3 linked regions of the Cricetulus griseus genome follow. The protein of the gene in region 3 interacts with the protein of the main gene of each other region in a pairwise test. Links are inferred from orthologs where the notes say so. Each region holds a gene or a part of one and is shown on either strand. Other genes may lie near its edges.

Region 1 (10,281 bases), on a different chromosome or scaffold from region 3:
AGGGGCTAGGAGGACCTGGGTGGTGCACAGTTTTCCCGTTCACCAGGGAGACTTGGGGGCACAATCATAGTCCGTGCTGTAGCTAGCAAAATCCCAAGCTCTCGGGGAGAACAGATTTCTAAGTCATGTCTGTGTCCCACACAGGTTTTACATGCAGATAAAATGTCATTTTTTTGGGACAATTACCAAATTCCACTGCCTGAGCAGGAAGGAACAGGAAAACCCATTTTAAGTTGAATTCCAGTATGGTGCTCAGCCAGTAACCCCAATATTCAAGAGGCTGGGGCAGAAGATTTTGCATTGATGACGAACCTGTGTTTACAGACAGTTCCAAGTCACCCTGGGCAAAAATGACATTCTGCCTCAAAAACCAAAATGCAACAAAAGAGGGCCAGGTGCTGTAATAATGCGGCGTGGCTTGGGACCGTTCGGCGGCGGGTGATGATGGACAGGACGGATGGGAAACAGAGACCTGTAGAGGTGACTCACACAGAAAGTTTTATTGGGGGGGGTAAGGAAATAAGGTAAAGACACACGCAGAGAGAAAGAGGTCAGAAAAGACGAGGGAGACAGGAAAAGTCCTATCTGCCCAAGGGGAAGAGTGGGAAAGAGAGCGAAGGGGCGGGGTCTTTCTTTTACAGGGCTCCTTTGTACCTGAGAGCAGGCTGACCACAGAAAAGCCTGAGTGCATTCTGCCAGGTGACAGGGGCAGGTCAGTTTAACGCTTGAATCCTTACACCAGGAAGGATATAATCGGTTGGGAAACTGCTGTTTAGCACATACAAAGCCAGAGCACACCCAAGCACCACATAAACTTTGGAGTGGTTGTGGACACCTATAATCACAGTACTGAGGAAATGAAGGCAGAGGATTTTGAGTTCAAGGCCATCCCTGCCCACATAGCAAGTTTGAGGCCAACCTGGGCTACATAAGACCATGTCTCAATAAGTAAATAGTCAACATTTTCAAGAGAAAGTTCAGCTGGGCGGTGGTGGTGCACACCTGTAATCACAGCACTCGGGAGGCAGAGGCAGGTGGATCTCTGTGAGTTCGAGACCAGCCTGGTCTACAAGAGCTAGTTCTCCAAAGTCACAGAGAAACCCTATCTCGAAAAAATAAAACCAGAGAGAGAGAGGGAGAGAGAGAGGGAGAGAGAGAGAGAGAGAGAGTTCTTCCTGAATAACAAAGCAACAGGAAGTGAAGGATTCTAGCAGGCCTGAGCATGGAAAACATGGTGCTGACAGGCCCCTTCCTTCTCTCTTGTAAACCATAGATTACATGCTGGAAGCTAGCCACCAAGGTTCATTCCCCATTTGGACACTTTATTATGCCAGACTCATTCTCAAGGCTTGTCATCAAGGTCCAATTCCATCAATCAAAAGCCCTTTTTGGGCCTGAGGTATGGTGTGTTGTGTGTGTGTGTGTGTGTGTGTGTGTGTGTGTGTGTGTGTGTGTGTACACGTGCGCGCGGGTGCACATGTGTGATGGTGCATGCCTTAAATCACAGTACTCAGGCGGATTTCTGTGAGTTGGAAGCCAGCCTGGACTACACAGAGTTCCAGGACAGCCAAGGCTACTCAGAGATATAGCCTGTCTGGAAAAGCCAAACCCAAAAACAAACAAACAAAAAGCCTCTTTGGGCTACCTTAGTTAACATGCCCAATCAAAACATACCATGGCATCCTAGGCCATTCTAACATAGACTTTCCCTTTTTGTCTCTTAAAAATTACACCTGTAAGGTCATTTGCTGCTCTTTTCTGCCTGAGTCAGAATGCAGCCACTTTTCTTCCCTGCTTAATAAAGGATCTCTCCGTGAAAATGGGTATGTGGGGGGTGGGGTGAGGACTAGACATATGGCTCAGTGGTTAAAGAGCACCCACAAGCAGCTCACAACTATCTGTAACACCAAGACCTGATACCCTCACACAGACATATGTGCAGGCAAAACACCAATGCACATAAATGCAAATAAATAATTAAGAAAAAAAAGAAATAAATAGGTGTGTGGTCTGTGCCTAATCCAGGGTCTAGGAAGGAGCATCCCGTTGTGTGGGGATCCCTTCACAACATGCTCAGTAACTGGCTCCCTCATTAACTTGTTAACATTCAGCATACTTTACAATAGCAAACAGTATCCTGCATCAAAAGGCTGATTTTAGGCTTACAGGACTAAGTCACAGGCATGGATAATGCCTTCCAGATTTTCTTATTTTCAGTAGACTGATCTTACAAGTTATATTAGCAAATACGGTTAGATTACCTCAGGTGAGTCATCCAAAAGTCAAATGGAACATTTACAATATCTCTGAGTTAAGTATCTATAGTAGCCCTTAAGAAGATTACAGAATTCAAAATTCCCACTAAGGTCAGTGATCTTTTAAAAGGTGGTGGGAAAAGACAATTACATATTTTAGGAACCATTTAGTTTGAAGGTCTTTAGAATAGAAAGTCATGTAGATTTGGATAACAAGTAAAGCCTGATACTATTCACAGCATTGACCCAGGGCAGTGAGTCTCAACCTTCCTGCTGCCATCCTTTAATACAGTTTCTTCTGTAGTGGTGATCCCAACCATAAAATTATTTTCGATGCTAGTTCATAACTGTAATTTTGCTGCTGTTATGAGTTATAATTAAATATCTGAGATGCAGGATGTTTTAATATTCGACTCCTGTGAAGGTCTCGACCCCAGGTTGAGAACCACTTATCTAGACCTAAGTGTGTTGGTCTTAGCAAAAACCCCTAGCTCCTAAATTTGAGTTAACTGGAAGGGTAATTGTGTTCGTTGAACAGTGGTTATATTCTTCAGAAAATGAAGGTCTTGTAATTCTGGGAAGATTTAGAATTAAGTCCATCTTAAGAGCTGTGCTGTAAAAGGCCGTGTCTCCTCCGAAATTCAAACTGAAAGTTAATTCTCAGGGGAAGAGTATTTAGAGGAGCTTTTACGTGGTTATCAGGCCAGGGAGGGTGCCCTCATGGATGGGATTAGCATCCTAATAAAGGGATTTGGAGAAATGGGTCTGACCCCTCTTCAGCCTTCCTATCCATTTTACTAATGAGGTCACAGTTTTCCCCTTGGTGAATGTAGCAACAAGGTACCATACTGGAGCAGAAAGAAGCCTTCACCTGTCAGGGTACCGCCAACACCCTAATCTTGGACTTCTAGCATCTACAACTGTGAAAAATAAATATCTGTTCTTATTTTGTTTGTTTTGTTCGTTCAACTGTCCTGGAACTCACTCTGTAGACCAGGCTGACCTCAAATTCAGAGATCCACCTGCCTCTGCTCAGATTAAAGAAGTGTAAGACCACCACCCAGCAATATTTCTTCTTTTTGTGTTATCTAATCTCAGATAATTGGTTTCAGTAGCACATATGGGCTACAGGACCTAAGACAGGAGATCTTTAGAACTAAATACAAGAATATTTGCTGGACATGGGGGTGCACACCTTTGATCCCCGCACTGGGGAGGCAGAGACAGGCAGATCTCTGTGAGTTCACAATCAGCCTGGTCTACAAATTGAGTTCCAGGGCAGCCAGGGCTACACAGAGAAATCCTGCTTTGAAAAAAAACAAACCCAAAAGACAAAAACACATTTAAGAGGGGCTGGAGATGGTTAAGAGCACTGGCTAAGGACCTGGTTTGCTCCCCAGCACCAACAAGGAGGCTTATAACCATCCAAGGGGATCCAACACTATCATATGCACTTGGTATACAGACACACTTACAGGCAAAACACCATTTAAAACTTAAGAAAAAAAAGAGACAAACTATAGCTGAAAGCCTCAGTTAGAAGATGACATTTCATTTGAGTAATGTCCAAAGTAGGAAAGAGTCATTTATTTGTATCTGAAACAAGAGTACTCCAGACAAAGGGAACAGCAGGATGCAAAGGCCCTGAGTGGAACAAGCATGGAGAAGGCGTGGGGAGAGCTATGTCTATAATGCCAGCTGAGCTGGGTGGCTGAGGCAGGGAGGAGCAAGTCCAAGGCAGCCCTAGGCCACTCAGAAAACCCTCATCTCAAAATAAATTTACTTTAAAAAAAAATGTGGCTGGGCAGTGGTGGCGCATGCCTTTAATCCCAGCACTCAGGAGGCAGAGGCAGGCCGATCTCTGTGAGTTTGAGACCAACCTGGTCTACAAGAGCTAGTTCCAGGACAGCCTCCAAAGCCAAGAGACAAAAAAAAAAACCAAAAAAAAAATGTGGCTGGCACTCGGGAGGCAGAGGCAGGTGGATCTCTGTGAGTTGGAGTGAAAGACCCCGCCCCCTGGCTGGTTCTCTCTCGGTGACACTCCCGTACGCGCGCACACTCCCACACGCCTGGCGGCTGGCTCCCTCCCAAGCCGGTTCACCCAGGCGGGGGGCCCTCGACCCAGGCCCGCCCGCCTGGCGCCGCGCCCCGGGGCTGGGGCCGAGCGGGGAGAGGACGCCCCCCCCATGGGGAACCTCCGTCCCAAGGTCAGCCATCTGGACGCGGAGGGGGGAATTGGGTCTGTTGTACCAGGTGCAGACCTTGAGAATATACTGATAACTCTGTACCTCATTAAATTGTCCAATAGAATCCCTGTAACTATGCTTTTCGCTTCTGCACTGTGCTTTTTAGCTATATAAGGACCCCTCTCCCTTGGCTCGGGGCTTAGCCTACCCAAAAGCTAAGCCCCGGGGTACCAGCGCTACTAATAAAGCCTCTTGCTCTTACATCCAGAGTTCGTGGTTTCGCTGATTCCTGGGTGCGGGTCTCCTTCTACGAAAGTACCTCTTCTGAGGTCTTTCAGGAAGCCAGTCTGATCTATAGAGCAAGTGCCAGAAGAGGCTCCAAAGCTACAGAGAAACCCTATCTCACAAAACAAAAACAAACAAAAAAACCAAAAAAAAAAAAATGTGGCTGGATGGTGGTGGCGCACCCCTTTAATTCCAGCACTCCAGAGGCAGAGGCAGGTGGATCTATGAGTTCGAGGCCAGCCTGGTCTACAGAGTCAGGAGTTCCAGGGCAGCCGGGGCTACACAGAGAAACTCTGTTTGAGAAATAAATAAATAAATAAATAAATAAATAAATAAATAAATAAATAAGGAAGGGGTCTGGGAATGTATCCCAACAGTAAAATATTTGTCTAGCGTGTGCAAGTCCCTGGGTTCAATCCCGAAACACACACACACAAACACAGTGAGCCCAGTTCCTATAAGGCCTTGAAGACTATAGGTCTTCTGAGCCTTTGGGTTTTTTTGGTAAGATGTGGGGGTGGTTGCCATTTAAGGCTTGGGGAGGGTTGGGCATATGGTTCATTAGTCGAGTGCCTATGTAAACATGTATGAAGTCTTGGGTTCAATTCCAGCACAGATTCATGCCTGCAACCCCAGCACTTGACAGGTGGCTGTAGGAGAAACAGGAGTCCAAGGTCATCACAAACTATATAGATTTGGGGCCAGCCTAGGCTACATAGGACCTTGTCTTCAAAAGAAGATACTTTTTAAAAATCAGGGAAAATTTAAAAAAAACAACAACAACCTTATATCAACCCCTTTGATATTAAAGAATATAATTATGCCATTAAAAGATTTAAGACAGACTGAAATTCGACTAGTTCATCCCAACCCTCCCGAGGTAGAGATAGAATCAAAATTTCAAGCTAGCCTGAGTCCAGCTTAAAACAAAATTAAATAGGTAAATGGAAGTAAGCCTTAAGTGATAAAGATCAGTGAAGGTTTTTGGTTCTTGGAGACTGACTGCTCCAGGAGGCTGCTGGAATAGGAGGGCTGGAGAAGTTGTCAACACTCCCTGTCTAGGGGTGAGATTCCGTGGTTAGAGTCTTTCCTTTGCAAGGGAGAATAAACGGCCTGAACAGGTAGTTGTCTTATAAGAAATCAAGTGAACTATTTCATGAAAGCGAAACCACTCCATTTACTAAAGTCCTGCAAACATAAAGACTTCTAAGGTGTTAGCGGTGTGTGCGGTTGGGTGCCCGCTAGGTGTGAATCCCATTCCAAACACGTCTCGGAAAGACGTGGAATACTGCTAACCGCACGGTCAAGGGCGACTAAGCGCGCCAGAGCGCGAAGGGACCAAACCAGATAGTGTCGCCAGGTGGGAGATGCCAGGGACATTCTCCCGGGAGCCAGCTGGGGCTCCATATTCCTGTCCTCGGTTCTAAGCTCGGAACCGTCGTGTCGTGTCGTGTCGTGATCGAAAGCGAGAGGGCGGTGGGTGGAGTGAGAACGCCGGGCGGCAGCGCCCCGCGCCCCGCGCCCCGCGCGCCCGCGCCCCGCGCCCTTCCCCCGCCACGGCGCCCGACGGCTGCAGACACGCCCCGACTCCGTGGCGCCGCCTCCCTACCGCCGCCGCCAGGAGGCTCCGGCGCCTTCCCGCCTTTCCGGGGCCGGCCGCGGGCGGGGCGCGGGCGCGAGCGGCGACGACGCAGCCATTGTCCCGCAGCCGCGCCCGGGCCGCCGCGCCGCCGCCCGTGCCTCCTTTGTGGCCGTCGCCGGCCCCGGAGCTCTCCCCGAAAACGCCTACACACCGGGGCGCACCCGGCGGCCTCGCCGCCCTCCGCCAGGCTCTCGGCCGGGCCCGCAGCCCCGACGCCCCGGCCGCCCTCTGCCCGCCCGCGCCCTCGCAGCCACTTACCGCGGGGCTCTGGCCGCTCGTGCTCGCTGCGGAGTAATTCCCGGTTCCCGGTGGGGGAAGCACCCCCTTCCGAAGCCGAGGCTGTGCGCCCTAAAACAAGTAGCCCCAACGTGGGAGAAACAAAAGGTATTTGCTGACGTGGGCGTTGGACAGAAACGCCCGAGGGCTGAGGACACAATTAAAGGGGCAACGCACAGATTTCAGGCACCAACCAGCAGCTTCGCCCACTCCCCCTGTCCGTGCCCACACCCGGCTGCACCCTCCGCAGGCGCTGGGGCGCCCAGATTCCCCAGCAGTTGACTGCGGATCATTCTTTTAGTCGCGAGCTTAAATTTTAAAATTGTACTTTACGTTGGGAAAGGCGCCTCCGGAGGGCAGAAAAAGGGCTAGGATTTCTAAGATGTGGGGATATTGGTTTAAGGACAGAGGGAGGGACTTAGGCGTGCCCACAATTACTGTATAAGTACATATGACATTATTGTTCTTAAGTTTAGCAACGTCAAATGGAAGAGATTTCCACAAATTTCCTCTCTTTATCGAAGCACTTATTCTAGTCAGGGATAACCCTTTAGAAACCTTTGTAGGTCCCCTTCAGACCATTTGAAAAGGCAAGCCCAGAGAGGCTGAGATATTGAGAACATGATTTTATTTTGTGTTTTTGTTTTTCAAGACAGGGTTTCTCTGTGGCTTTGGGGGCTGTCGTGGAACTAGCTCTTGTAGACCAGGCTGGTCTCGAACTCACAGAGATCTGCCTGCCTCTGCCTCCCGAGTGCTGGGATTAAAGGCTTGTGCCACCACCGCCAAGCTAAACTAAATTAATTTTATATTTCCTCATATTAGTTGTTAATTGCTGTGAAATAGTGTATTATGATGAAATGGGGGGAGACTCAAATCTTCAAAGCATACATTTAATGTTTTTTTGAGGGGTTCCTCTCCCAAGTCTTAGTTGGGCCTATTAGGGTCTTGTTTCTTCGGTTTCCTCACCGATTAGCTAGAACAAAACATTTGGTCTTTCCTGAATATTATACCTGTTTACTCCAGAGTTGCTTTGTGATTTAGATGTGTTTCTTTACCTTTTGAGGTAATGGAAGGAAAAGTAGCCAGAAGCTAGTTTGAAAATCCTTACCACACCTTTAATCAAAGCACTCCAGGAGGCAGAGGCAGGCAGATCTCTGAGTTAGAAGCCCTCCCAGGACAGCCAGAGCCGCATAGTGAGACCCTGTCTTGAAAAAGAAAACCGTTATGGTTCAGCATTGCTGAATATGCTCAAGCTGTTCTAACATTCCCATTGAAGATTTATCCCAGAAAGAGCTGGACATTATAGTAGCTTATTGCAGCACTGGAAAGGCAGAGGCAAGCAGGTCTCTCTGTATTCAAGGCCATCCTGGTTTACAAAGAGAGTTCCAGGGCAGCCACAAGGAGACCCTGTCTCAAAACAAAAACATTCTGCTGCCAATTAAGCCAACCAGGAAGGTTCCTTTGCACCCTAGGGGGCCTGGCTTGCAATGCTTGCAAATAGCAGCCTTTTGTCCATTCCTGCGTCCAAGAGGAAGTTGGAAACAATTCTCCAGCGGCTATTCATGTCTCTGATCTGGAAGCTAGCCCTAGTCTACACTCCAGACAGGTATGTAGGGGAGCCCCAGGGCACACTGGCCACGGTTAATTTAGGCCAGGTCATCCTGTCAATCCAAACCACATCTCAGAGCAGAGGGGCCCCACCAAATGGAAAGCAGGTGAATTTGAAGGGGGAAAATGGTGTGTGTGTGTGTGTGTGTGTGTGTGTGTGTGTGTGTGTGTGGTGTGTTTCCTCCACTCTAAATGCCATTGCCACCCTGAACTCCTGGGCTCGCTCTATCATCATTGTCTTGTTCAACCACCCAAGCAGCTGGGAAGCGAGGTGTGTGCCGCTGCGCTGCGTCTGGCCAAAGGTTTTATTTTTAGTGTTAGTGAATTCAAACAGCCAACATAGCCAGGTGTGCTGTAAGGCCAGCGACTGGCAGATGTAAAACTGGAGGGCCCGGCAGGCATTCCAAGCTAGCCTAGGCTATACACCTGGACCTTTCTCCAAAAACAAGTGAGCACATAAAATAGAACAAGTCTGTAAGCATGCTTCTAGACAGACCACATAAGGTTGCTTGCTGATGCACTGTATTCCGAGGAGAAAGAGTTTTCCTTTCATCTTCATCCTCCTGACTTCAGTTGTTAGACCCTAGGAAAGCTGAGGCTTCCAGAATCTTAGCCCAGGACCTCGGCCACCCCAAACACAGAATGGAGGCGAAAGCTCGATGCAAATTGCATGAGGCTTTATTGTAGTTTAACGAGCTAACCCCATGTTAGCTCGGGTCTTTGATAGCACCCACCATGGCAGATGGCTAGCAAAGACGGCTCCTAGGGGCTCCCGAAAGATCTTATAGGGCAGCATAAGGGGAGTGTCTAGGGGTATGCACAGGCTCAGGATTGGTGTGCCTCCAGGCTTGGAGGGCTTGCCCTGTGTTTATTGGTCAACTGGTTGCTATGCTTTGTGCGCCATTGCCGTGCACTTGTCCGTAAAGCACACCCAGAGCCGTAAAGCATAGCGCCATCAGCTAACTTCTGATTGGTTCCTTGCCACGAGGCAGGCATCTGACTTCTAGTGACTAGGACAAGGTCTTGGCAAGCATGTGTTACTGTCATGGCTGCTGAAAGGAGCAGCTGGTCCCTTCAATGAATGTTTTGTCCGTATGTGTATATTGAGGTTACTTACAGGAATATGGGTGAGGGATTACTTACAGGAGCCCCTTACTGTTTATGTGCCTGCTGCTGGTGGTAGAAGCCAGCAGAGGGCACCGGGCCTCTGGAACTGGGGTTAGGATGGTTATGCGACACCACGTGAGTTCTGGGACTCAAACCCAGGTCCTCTGTGAGAGAGCCTCCGGTGATCTTTCCACTGAGCCATCTCTCTAGCATCTCCTTCCAATTTCACAGGAATTTATTCAGCACATACTATGAGCAAGGTGTTTGCTGCTGACTCTTAAAATACAATAGTGAATAAAAACTCTTGGCCCAGCCGGGCAGTGGTGGTGCACACCTTTGATCCCAGCACTCGGGAGGCAGAGGCAGGAGGATCTCTGTGAGTTTGAGACCAGTCTGGTTTACAGAGTGAGCTCCAAGATAGACTCCAAAGAAACCCTGTCTAGAAAAAAACAAACACAAAACAAAACAAACTCTTGGCCCAGCATAGAGTTCCAGGACAGCCAGGGCTACACAGAGAAACCCTGTCTCAAAAAAGAAAGAGAGAGGAGAGAGAGAGAGAAGAGAGGAAAGAGAAGAAAGGAAGAAAGAGTGAGTCAAACCTGATGGTTGTTGTGTAACAGCCTGTGATGAAAACTTTCCTTTTTTTTGTTTTTTTGTTTTGTTTTGTTTTTCGAGACAGGGTTTCTTTATGTAGCTTTGGAGCCTATCCTGGCACTCGCTCTGGAGACCAGGCTGGCCTCGAACTCACAGTGATCTGCCTGCCTCTGCCTTGAGAGTGCTGGAATTAAAAGCATGCACCAACAAGGCTCAGCAAAACTTTCCATCTTGTAGGGGCTCTTTAAGCAAAGAGCCAAACAGCAAGAAACACCTTCAAGAACTCCCTGGAACTGGGCAGATTCCCTAGGCCCCTTCCTGCTAGAGA
Region 2 (10,419 bases), on a different chromosome or scaffold from region 3:
TGTAATATTTATTACAATTGAAAGGATAAACCACAAATGGGAGCATGCGAATGAAATCATGTAGAAAGCTGTGGAAGATACACAGAAACAGACACAGACACACACACAAAGACCCACACACATATACACACAGAGAAATAGACACACCGGGCGTTGGTGGTGCACGCCTTTAATCCTCACAGGCAGATCTCTGTGAGTTCAAGGCCAGCCTGGTCTCCAGGGCGAGTACCAGGATAGGCTCCAAAGCTATACAGAGAAACCCTGTCTCGAAAAACCGGAAAAAAAAAAAAAAAAAAAAAAGAAAAAAAAAAAAAGAAATAGACACATACAGAGAAACACACAGAAACAGACATACATGCTCACAAAGACAGACACACATGCACACAGAAACAGACATACACACACGATAACACACACACACACACACACACACAGAGAGAGAGAGAGAGAGAGAGAGAGAGAGAGAGAGAGAGAGAGAGAGAACTGGATATAGATTTGTCTTAGAATTTTATTTGTTTTAGTAGCCAAGGAAGAGCTATCATTTAATATACCCTCTGTGTTATAGTGTTCACAATCTACCTATTGGTAGGAAGAGGATTTTTCAATCCTTGGAGAGGCTTAAAGGATGAGAACTGCCTTTCCAAGTTGGCTCAGCAGAGCTAAGAACTGGAAAGGGTTTCCAGGCTTATGGACGGACAAGAATGACTGATGTCATTTTATTGTTCCCATTGTATTCTAGATGTTTCAGAGGAGGATGTACTTATTATAGTGCTTAAACACTATGTAGTTGTTGTTAATAAAATTAATGGAGAAACATACATAGATGACCATATGGGGGGCATGTGGCCTGTGTTTGCAAATGCTCCCTAGGTACCATCTATCCTAGGTACTGGGTGGTGTAAACTGTGGGGATAACAGCAGGGCTGGCAGCTGTTTGCAGCAGGCAACTTTGATGTCTACCTTCCCCAACTCCTTATTCCATTTTCTGTATCTCCTTGAGAGCTATCAGCTGCCCCTCAGCCAACGTGACAAGGAGTTCACTTGCCTTTGCTACTGTCATGGATTCAGTTTCCTGAGGACCCCAGAGTGTTACCTTTGATTAACTGTTAGGGAAATAAAAATAGGGGTTGTCCCAGTGAGTGGCTACTATTTCAAACTCAAGGAGTTGTACCCTGCAGACGATCCAGGAAGGTCTAGACTCATCTGTTGAGTCTTTCTAGCACTAAACTTTTCCTTTATCATCAAATAATTAAACCTTTGTTACCATTATGGTGGTCTGTAGTGTTCTGTTCTCTACTGAAATACGAAGGATCAATGACAGTGAATTGTTGTTCAGGCTAAGGAAGTCAAAGAGCTGTGCTTAAGATCTAACTTTGAAGAATTAGGTGTGTGCTGGGCACAGTGGTACAGGGCTGTTAACTCCAGCATCTGGAAGGTGGAGCCAGGAACATCAAGAGTCCAAAGTCATTGTCAGTTACATTGTGAGTTGCAGGACAGTGATGCACTACTTGTGATTCCATCTCACAAAACAATAAAGTATTTATACATATAAGATATATATATATATATATGTATATATATATATGCAAATCAATTTCTATAGAAACCTTTTTACTTAATGTGTAAAATAATAAATATATACTTTCTGACACTAAAACCAGCCCATCCTATCATCATGGCTTTTAGTTTCTCTAGTGGCAGTTATGTATTAGAGGGCAGAGTTCAGATTCTTTTAGTTTGTAGTCCCAAATACCTATCACAATGACTATTAGATTGTAGTTTTAACTACGCTCATTGGCTCAATAAATGGGAAAAAATAGGAGTTTCCACAGTGTTAAATGAATGTAAGCTGTGAGGGAGGTAGGTGAACTTTACCATAATGCTCTCTCTTGGGTCTGGTAATCTAGGCCTGGAACCTTGAGGGCTCCACGTTACCAGTCCCAATCCACATAACATATCAGACAGTGCCTGGGTGTCCACACGCCTCTAGCTTTCATCCCTCCCAAGTGTGCTCATTCCAAAGGCTGCGGCACTCTTTGGATCCTGTGGTACTCAGTGGCATATGCTGCTCTTCTTGTATAGTCATGTTGATAATGTCAAAAGGTGCCTGTAAAAGAAAAAGAAAAACAAAGTGAGTATTTATTCTGTAGCACATTTTGTATGTAGCCTCAGACAGCTCTAGGGTTGCCTTTTACACAAACTCAGCACCATGGAACTGAAAGCTTACTTCTGGGTTACCTATATTAATTACTCATATCCCCAATTGTCTGTGGAGTAGGTACTATTATTATCTCCAGTTTACATGAGGGATTCGAAAAGAAAAAAAGTGTGGCTAGGCGTTGGTGGCGCACCGTCTTTAATCCCAGTACTTGGGAGGCAGAGGCAGGTGGATCTCTGTGAGTTCAAGGCCAGCCTGATCTCCAGAACGAGTACCAGGATAGGCTCCAAAACTATACAGAGAAACTCTGTCTCAAAAAAACCAAAAAAAAAAAAAAAAAAAAAAAATTGTGTGTGTGTGGGGGTGGGGTGGGGGGATGTGCTAGTATGCTTGAAGGTACACAAGTATGTTTGGATTTTTTGGCTCTAGGCCTTAAGCACTACACCCTGCTTCTCACCTTTAGTGCCTGCTTCAGCACCCCCATTTGTCTAATTTGTCTTTCTTTCGAGAAAATATAACTAGAATTTGGAAACTTACTTTGTTCAGTCAGAAAAATCTAATCTCTTTTCACACCCTCCCAAATTTTAACTGGATTTTCCTTCTTGTCCTTTTTTCTCCCCCCCACCCCCCAATACAGTACTTGTATTTACAAAATATGCCGAAAAGAGGGAGTCCACAGAACACATTCAAATACGAAAGGTCAATCAAAAGCATCAGCAATCACTCCAGGTGAAGGCTTGATTAAAGACGTAGATGATCCCAAAGGAACTAGCTTTTAAATTTCCAGACCAAGCATTTTTAAAAGATGTTAAGTATTTGACATCAAAATTTTAAGATTTTACTGGAGTGCTTGACTGTTTTGAAACACAGAAGGCTTTATATTTGTATATTTCTCTTCAAAACAGAGCTCAGAAAATTAGCTTTGATATTTTAGCAATTTAATGTGCAATGAATAAAAAAGCCAAAAACAGAGTAAGATTACAGAAACTAAAATTCAAGAGTACTCAAGATCACCAGTTTTCAGAACTGCTTTCTGTTAAACTTTCCAAAAGAATTAAAAACCGTGCTAATCATAATTTGAATTGTCTTCCAGCTGTGTTCTGCAGGAGCTGTAACACTTAAGAACTGACACTATTAAGACTTGGGTACAGCATTATAATAAACTCATAGATGGTACACAAAACGTCTTAAGACCTCAACTATAAAAAGTGAGAATGCCATTTTATTTGCCACAGAAATGAGGGAAAAAACGTCAGTGAAATAAATTTGATAACATGACTCACACTTCATTAAGAGTGGTTTCCCCAAATTCACAATGTTCCCGTTTGGCTGAACTAAAAAGAACTGAAGAAAGGAGCTTGTAAGTAGGACACTTATGTTCCTTCCAAATGAGTTTAGATAACGCACATGAGGTAAAGAATACATACACTCTTGGGTTGTGTTCAGCAATCTTTGTCAGTCGGCTTTACAAGAATCATAAAATATTTTTTATAAAACATATATGAAATTTTCTTGGCTCAGTCTTAAAAGTAAAAATAAGGATATTCAAACCCATATTATTTCACTTCCAAATTTCTTCTCCTTTAAGAGTTGCCTAGACGGGCTGTACAATTAGTCATTTTACTAAGATTATTGTGAGCATCAAACTTAGCACCCCACGGATTAAGAGTAATGAGAAGAGGGCTAATTAAAGTACTTCACGAGTGCTCCAGTTCCTCACTAACCAGATGAGTTTTAACTAGAACACAAGGTACCTCATCCTACAGCCACCTAGGACTTGAGAGAATTCAGAGACCCAAAACAAAACCAAAACACTCTAAAAATGATTTGAAATTTCTGAAATCTAATCGAGCCATTTTGCTCTTCTTCCCAGTTTCATATTGAGATAAGGGAGGAGGTGTCAGATTGGTGCTCGGCCAATTTATAAACTCATATTTTTTCCCCCACCCGCCCCCCAAAGTGAAACCAAAGAAACAGAAATACAAGTTTGACACTACATGCTTTCCAGACTTAAAAGCACATTAATAAGCACACTGCACCAGTCCTTGGTCAGGGAGGCTCACTTTTTAAATAAACATTGCCAGAAGAATGTCCTCAAATGAAGACTGAAGTCACTCTCCCTTCCTCTTCGGACCTTCCGAAGAAGGTGGGTGGGAGAAAAGGCAAGGCTCAGTCCTCCATGGCAAAGTCTTTGGTCTTTTCCTCCTGGTCCCCCACTTTGTAGCGCAAGAGGACGCGCAGACGTCGGGGGTTGTCCCGGGAGGGCAGCAGAGTGATCTCTCCAGAAATGTCCGTGTCTTGTTCCACCGGCACCGGCTCATTCAGGTAGAGGAGCGCCTGCTTCCAGTGCGTGGCCGGGTGAAAAGGCGAGGTGGACAGCACCAGAGGTTTCTCCGAGTCCCCTCCAGGGAAGGTCACCTGGAACCAGATGGCAAAACCGTGCAGAGGCGCCGAGCCATAGCAGCTGCAGCGGAAGCGCCCGCCTACACCGGCCTCCAGCTCCTGCTCCAGGCCGGCGCGGGCCAGCTCGAGCTGGGCAAAGCGCTGCGGCCGGGCCAGCACGTCCTCGCCGGACAGACCCTGCACCACGATCTCCGAGTGGCCCATGAGGCAGCGCGTGGCGAAGCTTTCCAGGCAGCTCATGTCCACGCCATAGTGCTGCTTCACCTGGCTCCAGAAACCCAGACGCCATTCCAGCATCTGGTCGCTAATCGGGGCCACGAAAAGCTCCGCGGAAGCCGGCAGGAGGAGACCGCCTTCCTTCAGCCACTTGGTCCGCGCGTGGAGCACGGAGCTCAGCATGGACTCGTGCAGGAGCCCGTAGCCCATCCACTCGCTCACGATGGCGTCCACCTGCTCCGGCAGCTCCACCGTCTCCACGGGGCCCGGCAGGACGTGCACGCGGTCTTCCAACCCGTTGAGCCGCACTACCTCCCGGGCCTGTTGCCAGATGGCGCTGGCCTCCACGGCGTACACGCGCCGGGCGCCGGCCTGGGCGCAGAAGATGCTTAGAATGCCGGTGCCCGCGCCCACGTCCAGCACGGTCTTGCCTCGCAGCGCGGCCCAGTTCCGCAGGATGCCCAGGCGGTAGGCGTCGGTGCGGACGCGGTCGGCGATCATCTCCTCGTGGACCGAGACGTCGGAGTAGCACTCGTAGTACAGCTGGTCCCGCTCGCGCTTGGTCCTCCGGGGTCGTGGCGGGGCTGCCTCCTGCTCCCCGCCATCTTCCTCCTCGGCTCCCTCCCCTCCTGCGCCGCCGCCGCCCCCCGACTCAAGCTTTCTTTTCTTGATCAGCGACATCTTGGCCCAGGCAGCCGGCCCCCAGCAGGCGTTGCGCGGTGCGGCGAGCGGACTCCGAGTCCCGGGGGCTGCTGGGATTTGTAGTCCCCGCTGGTTATCCCACCTCTTTAGGGTGGATGCGCGCTGAGGATCTCATTGGACTACAGGGCATTGTAAAACTTTACATACTTTTCCCCTACGACCACGCTGTTATGCTGGGGTTCTTTGAGTTTTTGCTCTTTCCGTTTGTCCCTCGGTCTCTATCCGTTTCACCTATTCTTGAAAAGGCACACCTACTCACAACTATGAATCTCTGCTCCCTCATGGGGATGCCCACCAATTCAGTGCCACTACTGAATTGAGGTGGCACGGTTCAGATCCCTTCCCCGGCACTTGTAACTCATCAAGCTCTCTGTTCTAGCTGTAGTTAGGTTGCAAAGAATGTGTAAGTGGGGCAAAGTGAAAACCTAACAACACAGGATCTTGGTTCTGAGTCCAAAATGATCCCCAATGGACTGAAAGATCCCGGCCAAGTAGTAGAACTGCTGTGGCCACCAAATGCCTTTTCACCCACCATTGTGTTTCTGGAGAATAGTTTACTTCGACTTGAGCCCTGTTCTAAAACTCCTATGGTTCAAACTAAAGAACAATTAAAGTCTGTCGTGTGATACTCTCAAACCCAAAACCATTACTAGTGAGTATCTAGTAACCAGTTTATACATAAACACATACAGATATACATAAATCTATATATCTATACATATTTTTCTTGAGGGAATGATGGAATTCTTGTCTTTTGACTACTTTTTCAACGCAGTTTGCTTTGTAAACCCCGATGTCTGTTTCCTTTTATTTTTTTCGTCATTCAAGCAGGAACTGTTAATATCTTTTCATTGTCCATAACAGAAGTACAATAATTTTTAAATATTTGCTGTCTGGAGCTGGAGAGAATGCTCAGGAATTTAGAGCACTGGCTGCCCTTCCTGAAGACCCAGGATGGACTACCAGCATCCTTATGAAGGCCCACAACTGGCTTTAACTTCAGTCCCAGGGTATCTGCTGACCTTTTCTGGCCTCTAAGAGTTCCAAGTAGGTATGTGGTCCACAGACAAACATGCAGACAGAATACCCATACCCATACATGTAAGCAAAGCTTTTTATATGACTAAATGGTTTTTTTTTTTTTTTTTTTTGGTTTGTTGAGACAGGGCTTCTTTGGAGGCTGTCCTAGAATTAGCTCTCAAAGACCAGGCTGGTCCAAAACTCACAGAGATCCGCCTGCCTCTGCCTCCCGAGTCCTGGGATTAAGGGCGTCGAGTCCTGGGATTAAGGGCGTGCCCCCACCACCATCCGACAACTGTTTCTTTTTTTCTTTTTTTTTTAGTTTTTAATTACTTCTTACCTTTAATTGACTTCTGTTTTTTGATTTTTTTCTAACTTTTTAAATTTGAATTAGAAACAGGATTGTTTTACAAGACAATCTTATCTGTCACATGTCTTTTGTGCTCCCCCTGGATGGTGAGGCCTTCCATAGGGTGTCATCAGAGTCTTTCTATCCTTTGGGATAGGGCCTAGGCTCCCCCCCCCCCGTGTGTGTGTGTGTGTGTGTGTGTGTGTGTGTGTGTGTGTGTGTCTTGGCTCAGGGAGTATTCCTCCACATGGAATGGGCTCCCAAAGTCCACACCTACACTAGGGATAAATACTGGGCTTCTACAGGAGGTCCCATAGATTTCTGAGGTTTCCTCACAGAAACCCATGTTCCTGGGGTCTGGATCAGTCCCATGCTGGTTTCCCATCTGTCAGTCTGGGGAGCAAGAGCTCCCAGATGTTCAGGTCAGCTGTTTCTGTGGGTTTCACCAGCCTGGTCTGGACCTCTGTGCTCTTCACTGGTAACTAAATGTTTCTTTAACAAGAATAACATTATTTTCCAAGCTTAAAAATTAATCCCACAAAAGAAAATGGGCCTTTGTTTTCTTGTGTTAAAATACTTGTTTATCTATGCTAAACTTCCTGGTGATAGAATTTCACTAATGAAATAGGTTTATCCATGTGAATTCCTCAACTGTACTTCTAAACTCAGGACTCTCAGTCCTGGTGGCTCATTAGAATACTCCAAGGAACTTTATCGAAATATCTATGGCAGGATCTACCTCAGCCCAGTTAAATGAGAATCACTCAGGGGAACTTAGGCATCTAGCTTTTAAAGCTCCCTAGGGAATCCTCGTGTGAAACCAGGTAATTATTGCTATTTCTGATTTAATTTCATTAGTTAAATCTTATATCATTATTTCCAACAGTCAGGGCTCAGCAACTTACAACTGAAAATCCTTAAAACAGGTATTCTTCTTTTTACCTTGTTTTAATATCTTATTTTAACAAATGATACCCAGAATGGGACATGAGATTAGTTATAAATGTGAGAATTTTATAACACACATTAGGCTTTAACCTAGCTTATACTGCTTCCACTCTGTCCTTAAAGTGTCATTTTCCTTTGGGATATGTTAAATATTCTGATTTTTAAAAGCTATTGCATTAATTAATTAAGTTGTGTTATTATACATGTGTGCATACACGTAAATGCCATGGTATGCTTGTGGAAGCCAAAGGACAACTGAGGAAGCTGGCGCTTTCCTCTTCATGTGGTACCTGGGAACCAACTCCAGTCTCCAGGCTTGGCTGTAAGGGTTTTTCCTACTGAACCATCTCCCTTATTCAGAGTGGTTTTTGTTTGTTTGTTTGTTTGTTTGTTTGTTTTTTCAAGACAGGGTTTCTCGGTGCAGCTTTGTAGACCAGGCTGGCCTTGAACTCACAATATCTGCCTTTCTCTGCTTCTTGAGTGCCGGGATTAAAGGCGTATACCACCACCACCCTCAGAATGAGTTTGTTATCAATCCAGTTTTCACTTTGCTTCTTTGTGGTTCTTGTGAAAATATTCTAAACAACATTTTGTTGGTTCATTTGCTTTTTTCGTTTTTTTTTTTTTCCTCAGAAAAATCTAACCCTGTTGAAGATGGAGGTGTCTTTCTAGCCTGGCAATCAATCAGTCTCCAAAGGAATCTCCTTCCTACTACCCACACCCCTAACTAACCCATTCTTCATAGCTTGCACATGTGAGCATTACAAAAATACATTAAGCTTTCGGGAACAAGCCTTTAATCCCAGCACTTGGGAGGTAGAGGCATTAAGATCTCTGTGAGTTTGAGGCCAGCCTGGTCTACAGAGTGAGTTCCAGGACAGGTTCCAAAGCAATACAGAGAAAACCTGTCTTGAAAAATTCAAAAGAAAGAAAGAAAGAAAGAAAGAAAGAAAGAAAGAAAGAAAGAAAGAAAGAAAGAAAGATTAAGCTCATATCACTTGAGGGATTTCCTGTTCTCTGATTGAGAGAAACAGGTAACTTCAGGTGATTTCCATCTTACCTCATAGCAGCACTGCTGACTCATCAGTGGGATCAAGACACACTCACTGATCTTCTAACACCAATACTTCTTTTCTGGGTCCCATATCCACTTATGTGTGGCCAAAGCCCAGAAAAGAACTCCCTCTTTATCACCTCACAAAAGTGGCCTGACACAGAATGCCTTCCTTGTCTAATATTTTCCCATCCAAGATGCCGGTGTTTTTCCTTCATAGCTATTGTTATTAACTGTTTATATCTAATTACTTAATTTATTTTCTAAGCAAGGTAAATTCCATGAGATTTGAACTTATGTTATAGTCCCTAGCAGGGAGTACAAGACACCTGGGGATGACACATTGAGTGATTTTGACTGGACTGTTGTGGATAAACAATCATGTTTTCATCCAGATGAAGAACTCAAGTTTTGTTAAGTATGAGCATGTCTCTATATCATGCTGGAAAACTTAGGTAAATTCAAGTATAGATTGAATTCAAGATCTTCTCAGAAATGAGAATTATTTCATTTTACCTTCTCTTGTAGGCAGAATGATGATAAGGCCACAAATACAAAGTATAGAGAAGAAAAGGCCTGTAACACTTCCCTCTTCTATATCTTGGCTTGCCATAGAGAGGGAATTCATTGCTCATTCTACTACATGAAATATTTTGGAGTGGGAAAGGGATCCAGATAATAACTGTCTCAGCACTGAAGGTCAATAGGAACTCTTACACTACTGAGTCCTCTAGACAGGAAGGGAGTTGTGGCTGTGCTGGCCGATTATTCTTCCTATTTCCTTTGTAGTGGTATACCTTCACATCCATCTAGTGAGGAAACCCAATGATTTTTCAAACAAATGGACTTTGAAACAGTGTATTTTAACTAGCAATTAGAATGGAAAATATTAAAACTACGAAATGATAAAGGCTAGCTATTGTTTCATAAAACCTGCTTTAGTTGAGTATAGTATATGTGTTTCTTGCTTTATGTTAAAGACTTTAACATCCACAGCTATTTTACTATTTTCCATGGCTTTTGAACTTTAATATGTCCACATCTTCTCTTTGGGGTTTATGATGGCTAATCTTGTTTGTTAAGTTGACTATATCTGGAATCAACTAAAACCCAAGCAATTGAGCACACCCATGAGGGATATTTCTAAATTGGACCATTGAGAAGACCTACCCAAAACCTGGATCTTTTAAGGTTGAGAGACCCACCCTAAAATCCTGGCTACACCTTGTGGCAGCCCACATAAAGGGCATGGAAAACAAAATGTTTTTGCTTTTTGCCTGCTTATTCTCAATCTGGATACAAGTTCATCTATACTGTTGCTAAAGCACTCCTACTTTGATATTAGAATCTACTTTAGGACTTCTACATAGACCAAAGACCAGCTGAAGCATCCAACCTTGTGGCCTGAACAACTCCTGGATTCTAGGCATTTCAGTGAGACAGCCATTTTTGGACTAGCCAGACCATAGCCTCTGGGCCTCTCTCTCCCCCCCCCTCTCTCTCTCTCTCTCTCTCTCTCTCTCTGTGTGTGTGTGTGTGTGTGTGTGTGTGTGTGTGTGTGTGTGTATT
Region 3 (10,185 bases):
AAGGACTCAGGTTTGATTCCCAGCACCCACACAGCAGCTCACAACCATCTATCATTGTATTTCCACAGGATCCAATGTCCTCTTTGGCTTCTAAGGGCACCAGGTGCACAAGTGGTACATAAAAATATCCATATACATAAAAACAAACAAACAAAAATATATTAATATACATACATATAAATGAGACAGACATGTTGGTGTATACTTGTAACCCCAGCATTCAGTATTCAGGAAGGCAAGGCATGAGACAGATGGTTGAAAGCCAGCTTGGGTAACTTAATGAGATCCTATCTAAAACACATACAGATAGATAGATAGATAGATAGATAGATAGATAGATAGATACACAGACAGATAGATAATAAAACACAAACACCTACTATTCGCAGAGCATTCATTACATGAAGTTTGAAGTTCATAAAGTAATTGAATCGTTAGCACTCAGGTAGGTAATGATGTCCATTTACAGAGGAATAAACTGACTCCCTATCATTAAGGAATTTAAGTTTTTTCAGCTATGAAGTGGCAGAGCCAGGATTCAGATCAGTGCAGAGTCTGTGTCACACTGCATCTCAGATCATCAAGCAAAGTTCCCAACGAAAACACAGCACAGTGAGAGATTACAAACATCAACAAATGATTACAAGATGAAAACCAGACAAGCCAGTGCCTGACCCGGTAGAGAATTCTGAGCAATGCAGAGGTCAAGCAACTGCAGAATAACCTCCAACTCTGAGCACTAGGAACACCAGTCTCCTCTGAAGGTGTGTCATGAGGAGGGGCCCAAAACAGGCAGTACTGGTCCCCTCTACTGGGCAGGCAACTGTCCTGCCACTGCCCTAATAAAAAAACATCTGAACAGGATAAACTCGTGACTCCAGACTTGGGTAACTAGGGCATCCCCGAATACAAAGATTTATTGATTATGCATCTACACTGAAAGAGCAAGTACTTTATTCTATAGCTTGGTTCTTGGAATGTAGTACTGGATGATAGCATCACTGGTGAACTTGACAGGGCCCATGCCATACCTATGACTCAGAAATTCTAGGGTGAGCTCTAATGAACAACAAGTCCACCTGACGAAGTTTGAGAACCATTACCCTAACTGGGGGGGGGGAGGGGGGCAACTAGTTACTACATCATCACGTGCCAAAAAGCCTCTAACTGGTTCTTCAGTGTCTGCTTAACTAAAAACAGTCAGGATTCACCAGAAGTTTGAGGTAAGACTCGAACAGCCCTTGTTGTAAGTAGTGAAATGTAGACCTGGCCTTTCTATGGCTCCCAGCACCACTGAGCTCTCCTGAGGCTTTATAGAAGAGAGTCTATAGTTATGTTTAGTTCTAACCTATGTTTTTTGTTTGTTTGTTTGTTTTTGTTTTTTTTTTTGGTTTTTTCCAGACAAGGTTTCTCTGTGTAGACCTGGCTGGCATTGAACTCACAGAGATTCGCCTGCCTCTGCTTCCTGAGTGCTGGGACTAAAGGCGTGTGCCACCACTACCTGACACAGCCTAAATCTTTTTAAAGACATTTTTTTATTGTGTGTGTGTGTGTGTGTGTGTGTGTGTGTGTGTGTGTGTGTGTGTACATGCCACAGCATACTTACGGAGGGCAGAGGACAATTTCCAGGAATCATTCCTATCCTTCCACTATGTGGGTCACAGGGATTGAACTCCGGTCATCAGGCTTGGCAGCAAGTTGCCTTTACCTGATCAGCCTATTGCCAGTCCAAATCTTAACACAAAACTTCTTTCTTCCTACTGCTTTTCACTAGTCCCCACTCATCTTAGATGTTACTGCCACAATTAAGTCACTCTTCAGCTTCCAAGTCTCTAGTGGCCTTGACACCTTTTGCATCCTTTAGTCCGGGTTAGTTTTAATAATCCTCTTGGTTTCCCTGTTTTACCTGGGGAAATCCTGCCCCTTCTTAGGCCAGTTCAGTACTCTAATAGAAAACCATTTCTTTCAGGGGTCATGAAAAAGTCACAATAGGTGTTGTACAAAGAATACCAAACATCTCATTCAATCCTCACTAATAGTGAGATTTAGGAGTCATCTTTATTTCCACATTTGAAAAACTTAAGCTTGGGGAGATTAAGTAACTTGCCCAAGGTTACAGCTAGTATTTTCATGCAAATCCTTCTGTCTCCAAAGCCACTCTCAGACTGCTTTGCTTTTCAAAGTGCCAAACTATTAACCATCCTACTTACCAGTCTGACTCTAATATGTGGAGAAGCAAAGTTTCCTTAACTAAGTAGAAAGCAAAATCGAAAAGGTGTCTGTGTCTTTCTGCTGTTTTGAAACAGGAAGAGGGAGTGTTAGGCACACACTAAGAGCCTTCCAGGCAAAGTCCAGCAGGAAAAACCACAGGCAAGTAGCATCTCCCCACCTGGAGGGCATCCACCTGGCTCAGCAGTGTAGTCAAGAGGCAGCCCAGCTTGATCCAAAGCACAGGACACCAGACCAGAATGCTGGTAGGGAACAGGTGGTGAATATATTCCCCTCCCCAAGCAGCCCATTAGCCTGGCCTCCAGGACCTTTTGGTGGTGACTGCGGGTTATTTTCTAGCGTGGGGCAGAGTAGTCCACACCAAAAGATCTCCAGACCCGATTCTAAAAGCGCCAAGGGCAGGCAATGACTCCTGAGGAGATGGCTTATTAGCCTGTACAACAGCACAGCCAACTTCAAGGAGCACAAAGGAATGACTTTCTGACAAGATAAGATGTTTTAGTGTGCCCATCGGAATGTGGAGTCAGCCACCGCCCCTTCCTCCATAGACCGGCTGCAAGAACATTTTCTCTCGTCTGTGTGACAGAAAAGGAGGCGGATACCCCAATGTCTCCTTTTCTTAGGGCGTCAGCGGCACAACTCTCGGTCTTTCCTTCCAATGGCTGAACGGCTGCCCCTTTCCTCTCCCAACTTGGCCTCAATCCCCCTCTGCGCTTGGCACCGCTCTCCGTCCCACCCTGCTCTCTCTAACCTCTCTTCCCCGGTCCACCACCCCGCTTTGCTTCCCGCCCGGTCCCTTTGCTTCAGTCAGCCACCGCCCAGACCCCGGCACCTTGAGCGTCACATCGCACAGCTTGCCCTGCCGCCGGATCTCCTCCATGACGCCGTAGCCACGACTAGGCAACTCCGACACGGAGAAATGCACCAAGTCCTCCAGCTCCTCCGCGCCGTCCTCCACCATCTTCCCCGGCCGCCGCAACTGCGCAGGCCTGGCCGGCAGGCTTCACACTCACCAGGGCGGGGCAGGGGAGCACGCTGACGGCAGCGCGGAGCGCGAAGCAGAAATCCCACGGCCCTGCGCGGCCGCCGTACGCACCGGAAGTCCCGATGCCCCGCTTCCTGGTTCATACATAACCTTCTTTTGCCGCAACCTAAACCCCAGTTTCGCCTACGCAGGTGCTCCAAGCCTTCCAGGTTAATCGGCCCCATCTAGGTCCTCTTCGTTCAGCCCTGACTTTGCCTGTACCTTCAACGGGGGAGTGAGGACTTCAATTCCGCCACCGCTTTACACCACTTCCGGAGTCCCTGGAAGCTTCCCGTTGCCATGGCGACCGTGTACACAGCGGGTCGTCAGGCAGTCCGGATTCCTCCTTGGAGTCGCTGCAGTTACAGAGGTCGCGAGGTGAGCAGTAGCCACGCGCCGGTGGGGTTAGGTCAAAGAGCACTCGCGCGGATATCCGCCCTGGCTGCCGCCAGCGCCCTTTTCTGTAGAAACCCAGGCACCCCTAGAGAGCGTGTTGTGTCATCTTGTGCCCCTTCAAGCCTGATCGCGGCTTAGGGGAGCGTCAAGTTTTTGAACTAATGTTCTCTAGTCCCACGAGTCTCCCCCGGGGTCCCACGACTCGCCCTAGACAGAGAGGGCGTGAGGTTGAGTGTCAGGGGTCATTCGGACGCTTCACGCCTCAGTTTTCGAACTGGAGAGACCTTCGGCATCTTCACTTCGATCCTTTCGAACGGCAGAGGAGGAAAGCTCTGCAGAAGGGCCTGGGAATGGGAGCGAGTTCGCCTGCCATGAACGCTTTAGGAAAGCTGTCTGTCAAAAGGGTGAGAAATGAGAGAGAGAGGCTGGTTTTGCCTGGATGCCAGGTTTGGGTTCACCTCACGGTGTGGTACAGTAGGTGTTGTGGGTGTAGATGCTGCTGTTTCTCGGGCAGTCTTTGTCTCTGGTCCAGGTAAGAGCATGGCAGATAGGGACCGCCAGTGCCTACCAGTCATCCCATCGAATGTCAAGTCTTCATGAGGCCTTCCCAGGCCCCAAACAAATGAAGGAACACTGAATCTCTCAGCACAGAGGGTTCATTTTATCAATCAGCCTTATCCAAAGATTTTGTTCAAATGACGAGAGGGGGCGGGGCTTCCGTGCAAAGTCCTGAGGGAAAGATACACTATCTAATGCGGAGGGTGTGTTGAGAGACTGAACATGGCTTCTTGTACCTGGAAATCAAGTTCTTCTTAAGAAGCCTGCAAGTTCAGGGGTTAGAGGTAGCGTGGGAGAGGAGTGACATCGTATACCTTGGAACTTTCTCAGTAGTGACTGAAGATGGACCCACCTATGGAGATTCAGTCACCCTCAGACTTCCAGCCATGACTCTCACCACCAACCACCATTTATTGAGCACCTGCTGTGTGCTGGGCGCTGTTCTGGACCTTGTGGGGGGAATCACAAGAGAGAAAAGGCACACTCCTTGTCCTCACGCAGCTTGTAATTTCATTTGGGAGCTGAAGCCCACATAAATGAAGCGACATAAGAACGGTAACAAGCAGTATTTCAGTAAGTGCAAATGGCATGGCTTAGACGCGCTGTTGAGCTGTAGGCTTGTGGGAGGAGTGTAGGTCATGGGAAAGGCTCCTTGCAGCTTGCAGACTCCAGGAATGTTTGGTGGCATGAGAGTCAGGAGAACCTATCTAGGGAAGAATAGATAGGTGGCTGCATGTGCATGTTGAAAATGTTAGCTTATACCCAATGGCACTGGAATTTTGCTGGGCAGGAAGCTGGGCTGTTGGGGTTTGTGTTTGGGAGGGTTTCCCAGAGCTGTAGAAACTGAGTAAAAAGCACACCTCTCATTTGGAGGTGCTGTCCCAACACTTGGGAAGCAAAGGCAAGAGGACTGAGAGGTCAAGGCCAGCCTGGGTTACACTGTGACACACTATCTCAGGGAAAACATTATTTAAAATCACGAACAACAAATCACTTCTCTCTATTCTCAGTTTCTCAGTAATATAAATCAAAGTGAACTTGGAAATGAAATCTTCCCTTTGGTTTCCTCAATTTGGGGTTCACATTAGAGCTATGTGTGATTTTTTTTCCAAGAGCTCAATTTTTCAGACAAATGGTTCAACCAAGCTTCGTTCTTTTCTTACCCCAATATTTTTCAGATTAATTTTCTAAAAACAACCACAAAAAAAACCTCTAAAAGATACAAGAGTGCTAGGGAAAGACTTCCATGAAATAGGTACTCAAGCGGTATAGGAAATGCTTACACTGTAACAGGCAAATTTGGGGGTACTGTGTTTTTTACTTGATTTGAGACTTGCAGTGCATACCATCGATGGGTGATGCTCTCATTTTATCCACATCATCAAAACTGTAAGCTGGAAGAGTAGCACCTTCCATTTAATTTATTTCTGTAGGATACATAACATCATATGTATTTGTAATGTAATTGTAAGAGGAAATGATCTCAAGTTGTGTATAGACATGTGAAAGCCATTAATAGTTTTAAAATCTAAAATAATTTTTGTTAGGTAACATCGTTGCACCTCTATTAGAAAAGTATATGTAAAAATGTTACTATTACTTATTTGATACGCTTTTAATATTTTATTTTAGTTTATTAAGTGTGTGCATGTGTTTGTGTGTGTGCACACGAGCATGTGCGCACACCCATATATGCCAAAGAATTTGTGTAGAGGTCAGAGGATAGCTTGGGCCCTTTCTTCCACTATCCTGGGGATCAAACTCAGGTCATTAAGCCTAATGGCAAGTGTCTTTACCCACGCCATCTTGTTGAGACTTCTATGTCTTTTTCATGTGTTTGTTTGACCCAGAGTCTCACTACAGCATTGGCTATAGACCAAGTTAGTCACAAACTCATAGATCCACCTGCCTCTGACTCCTAAGTGCTTGGATTAAAGGTGTGTGCCACCACCACCCGGCCCCTTATATGATTTTTATGAATATTAGAAGAGGTTCTATTTCACATGAGAAAGTTTTCCTGTAAAGGTTTTTTTAAAAATCCTTAAGCATCCCTTCAATTTGTTAGAAGACTGAATCATGTTCCTTTGTCTGACATGTCTCTAACTTTTCATAAATTCAGTGAATTCTTTTGCTGATAGATGCTTGTTTTTCCTTTTCCCTTCTCTAGCTTCTTCCCTACTCCTCTCCTGTCTCCTTCCCTCAATAAAAGTGCAGGTTACTTTGGGGGAAGATGCTTTATTCCTTCTTGAACTGGCCCAACCCTAATGGAGTATACAGTGCAGCCTACATCCTGTATTTATTGTATTTAAATTTGGTTTTGTGCATTGTACAATAGTAGTTCTAAATGGTATTATTTTTTGAGATAGGCCATTGTTAATCCCTGACTGGCCTTGAACTCACTATGCAACGGAGAATGACCTTGAAATTGTTATGACCATCCTGCCTCCACAAGTGCTGGGGTTTTAGGCAGGCACGGTGCTGCCTCAACATCTGACTCTTAGGAAGGGCTCATCTTAGAGCTGTGAGACGTCTCACTGGGTAAAGTCCTTGTCGCTTCAAGCATGAAGACCAGAGTTTGGATTCCTCGAGCCCACATAAAAGCTGCTCATGCTGGAGCTGAGAGACATGTGCATCCTGTGGGCTTGCTGGCCAGCAAGTATAACCAAAGTGGTGAGCTCCGGGTTCAGTGACAGACCCTGCTTCAAAATATAAGGAGGAGGTCAACAGTGCAGACATTCCTTTTCCACCTCTAGCTCATATGCTCACTAACATGAGCCAGTGCGCGCACACACACACACACACACACACACACACACACTCACACACACACACACACACACACACACACACACACACACACACACACACTCACACACACACACACACACACACACACACACTCACACACACACTCACACACACACACACACTCACACAGGTGAGTGCACACATGTACATACCCAAATGTCTCAGTTTAATTTAGCTAGATTTAACAGAATTAATGATTATTACAAGTAGATTTTACTTCTCTTGCCTTAGAGCACTGAAGATTTTGTGTCAGTACTTAGTCCTTTATCATCACTATATATCATGAGACACTGGAAAAAGTGATCAACTAGCCGGGCGTTGGTGGCGCACACCTTTAATCCCAGCACTCGGGAGGCAGAGGCAGGTGGATCTCTGTGAGTTCGAGACCAGCCTGGTCTACAAGAGCTAGTTCCAGGACAGCCTCCAAAGCCACAGAGAAACCCTGTCTCGAAAAACCAAAAAAAAAAAAAAAAAAAAAAGTGAACAAGTGCTCATTCCCCCTTAAAGTCATAAAAATGAATTGGGTATCACAGTATGCATCTGTAATATAGCACTGAGGAAGTGAAGACAGGAGGGTCAGGAGTTAAAGGCCAGCCTTGGGCCAGTGAGATGGCTCCTATGTAAAGGATGTTACTTGCCTTGCAAGTCTGGTGACTGAGTTTCATCCTTGGAACCCATGTGAAAGTGGAAGGCGAGAACTGACCCCACAAATGTGTATTCTGATTTCCACACAATTAAATTAATTAACTTTAATTTAAATTTTTAAAAAAAATATAGAATGCTTCACGAATTTGCATGTCATCCTTGCGCAATGGCCATGCTAATCTTCTCTATATCGTTCCAATTTTAGTATATGTGCTGCCAAAACGAGCACTTTAATTTAAAATTTAATTTGAAAAATAAATAAATAAAACTTAAAAGGCCAGACTGGGATACATGAATACTAGTCTCAAGACAAAACAAAATTAGTTGAATTATCAGTTGCATTTAATCACTTGTTTGCTTTTCCACTCTGAATTAAGAGCAGCAGTCCAATTGGTAGAATCTCTTTCAAGTAGCATTTTGACTTTACTTGACCTTTAACCAAGCTTGCCTCCCTATCACTTCTATTTTATATTTTACAAGTGTTCATCCCACAAAGCTGTATATATTTGTCTGTAGACGGAGTTTCTGTCTCACCTGGTCCTACAGCTGCTTTGCCTCAAATAAACACAGAGGCTTATATTAATTATAAACTGTATGGCCAATGGCTTAGGCTTCTTACTGGCTAGCTTGCTCTTAATTATTAACCCATTTCTATTAAACTATGCATTGCCATGAGGCTGTGGATTACCTGTAATCCAGCATGTTACTCCTTTGGCAGCTACATGGTATTTCCCTTTCAACCACTCCCTGTGTCCTTTCCCCAGAATTCTCCTTGTCTAGTAGCCCTGCCTATACTTCCTGCCTGGCTACTGGCCAATCGGTGTTTTATTCGTCAACCATAAGAGAAACATATATACAGAAGGATGTCATTTGTCTTCAGTCACTATACTATAACAAGACAAACACACACACACACACACACACACACACACATGTATGTATGTATGTATGTATGTATGTATGTATATAGGTATGTATGTATGTATGTACGTATATAGGTATGTATGTATGTATGTATGTATGTATGTATGTATGTATGTAGTGAGGAAATGGAGAGATGGCTCCACAGTTAAAATCACTGACTGCTTTTCCAGAGGACCTGTGTTCACAACTGTAACTCTGGCTCCAGGGGAATCCATTCCCCTCTTCTGGCCACCACAGGCACTGCACATACATTGCACATAGACATTTATGCAAGAAAAACACCCATACACATAAAACAGACTTTTTTTTCCCCAGACAGGGTTTCTCTGTGGCTTTGGAGGCTGTCCTGGAACTCGCTCTTGTAGACCAGGCTGGTTTCAAACTCAGAGATTCGCCTGACTCTTCCTCCCAAGTGCTGGGACCAACGGCATGCACCACCACCACCCGGCAAAATAGACTTTTTTTTTTAAGGTGAGAATATAGTTAGGTTTTAGGAGAGCAAGAGGGAACAAGAGACTGTTTTTTTTTTTTTTCATCAATGTGAGAGAAGAAAGACTATTGGATTATGGACTAGATCAAGAACTCTTAATTGGGACTTCAGATGATTCAGTGGTTAAGAGTGCTTATTCCGCTGGGCGTTGGTGGCGAACACCTTTAATCCCAGCACTCGGGAGTTCGAGGCCAGCCTGGTCTCCAGAGCAAGTGCCAGGATAGGCTCCAAAGCTACACAGAGAAACCCTGTCTCAAAAAACCAAAAAAAAAAAAAAAAAAAGAGTGCTTATTGCTCTTCCCAGCACCCATATCAGGCAGCTCATTACTGCCTATAACTCCAGCTCCAGAAGATCAGACTCACTCTTCTGGCCTCCAAGGACACTTGTATGCTGTTGCATATACTCACACAAACACACACAAATAAAAATAAACATTAAATTAAAAAAAGAATATTTAATCTAGGGCCAGCCAGATGGCTTGGCAAATAAAGTGCTTACTTTGGAATCCTGAGGACACAAGTCTGATCCTGGAGCCAACATGGTGAAAAAAAAGAACTGACTCCGTTGTCCTTTGACTGCCACCACATGCTGAGACAGGTGTCTCTCATTCACAGTAATAATAATGATGAATATATATCTTACAAGATACTTAATTTATTCTCATATGGTTAGTCTGATAGAGACAGAGGCATGAAAGAAGGTCTATTAATGAAGAAAAGGCAACTAGCTTTAATGTATTCCGGGCAAGTATGTCAAGAGAAAACAGAACAAATGAAGCAAAGCATAAGTGGGTTCATCTTAAATACAGGACATTTCTAGAAACAGCAGCTAAAATCAGGCCGCTAAAGGGATTTCTGTCTTTTGGGATCATAGTGGAAAATGGCAAAGTAGCCTATAAGACAGGAGGCACATGTCCTTGTTGGGTAGTGACAGTGGGTTGCAACTGGTCTCTTACAGGCCAAGCTGTCCTCCAGCTCACAAGAGAGCTGAGGCTGGCCTTGAACTCTTATCCACCTGCCTTCACTTCCCAGTATTAGGGTTGCATGCCTGCACATCATGGTAGGTTTTTATTCTGATCTTGACAAATGACCTCTCCCGTCTAGTTGGTAT

What was found.
Region 1: the proteins of Kif9 (region 3) and Zbtb8a interact in binary tests that used the Homo sapiens proteins (3 or more experiments, as listed by UniProt). The two-hybrid records come from large-scale screens. The link is inferred for Cricetulus griseus from reciprocal best matches to the Homo sapiens genes KIF9 and ZBTB8A.
Region 2: the proteins of Kif9 (region 3) and Prmt6 interact in a two-hybrid assay, tested with the Homo sapiens proteins (2 studies listed by BioGRID and IntAct). The link is inferred for Cricetulus griseus from reciprocal best matches to the Homo sapiens genes KIF9 and PRMT6.

Annotation. Positions count from the first base shown.
Region 1 is NC_048595.1:23,661,129-23,671,409, reverse strand, and holds the start of Zbtb8a (zinc finger and BTB domain-containing protein 8A), read right to left. Parts: upstream 7,000-10,281; 5' UTR 6,627-6,999; exon of another isoform or gene 6,538-6,626; intron 1-6,537. UniProt on the Homo sapiens protein: May be involved in transcriptional regulation.
Region 2 is NW_023276806.1:46,952,343-46,962,761, reverse strand, and holds Prmt6 (protein arginine N-methyltransferase 6), read right to left. Parts: upstream 5,514-10,419; 5' UTR 5,459-5,513; coding exon 4,328-5,458; 3' UTR 4,222-4,327; intron 2,108-4,221; 3' UTR 491-2,107; downstream 1-490. UniProt on the Homo sapiens protein: Arginine methyltransferase that can catalyze the formation of both omega-N monomethylarginine (MMA) and asymmetrical dimethylarginine (aDMA), with a strong preference for the formation of aDMA.
Region 3 is NC_048597.1:217,964,685-217,974,869, forward strand, and holds the start of Kif9 (kinesin-like protein KIF9), read left to right. Parts: upstream 1-3,258; 5' UTR 3,259-3,631; intron 3,632-3,648; exon of another isoform or gene 3,649-4,053; intron 4,054-4,537; 5' UTR 4,538-4,743; coding exon 4,744-4,780; intron 4,781-7,782; exon of another isoform or gene 7,783-7,889; intron 7,890-10,185. Other genes in the region: Klhl18 (kelch-like protein 18), read right to left, coding at 3,062-3,190. UniProt on the Homo sapiens protein: Essential for normal male fertility and for progressive motility of spermatozoa.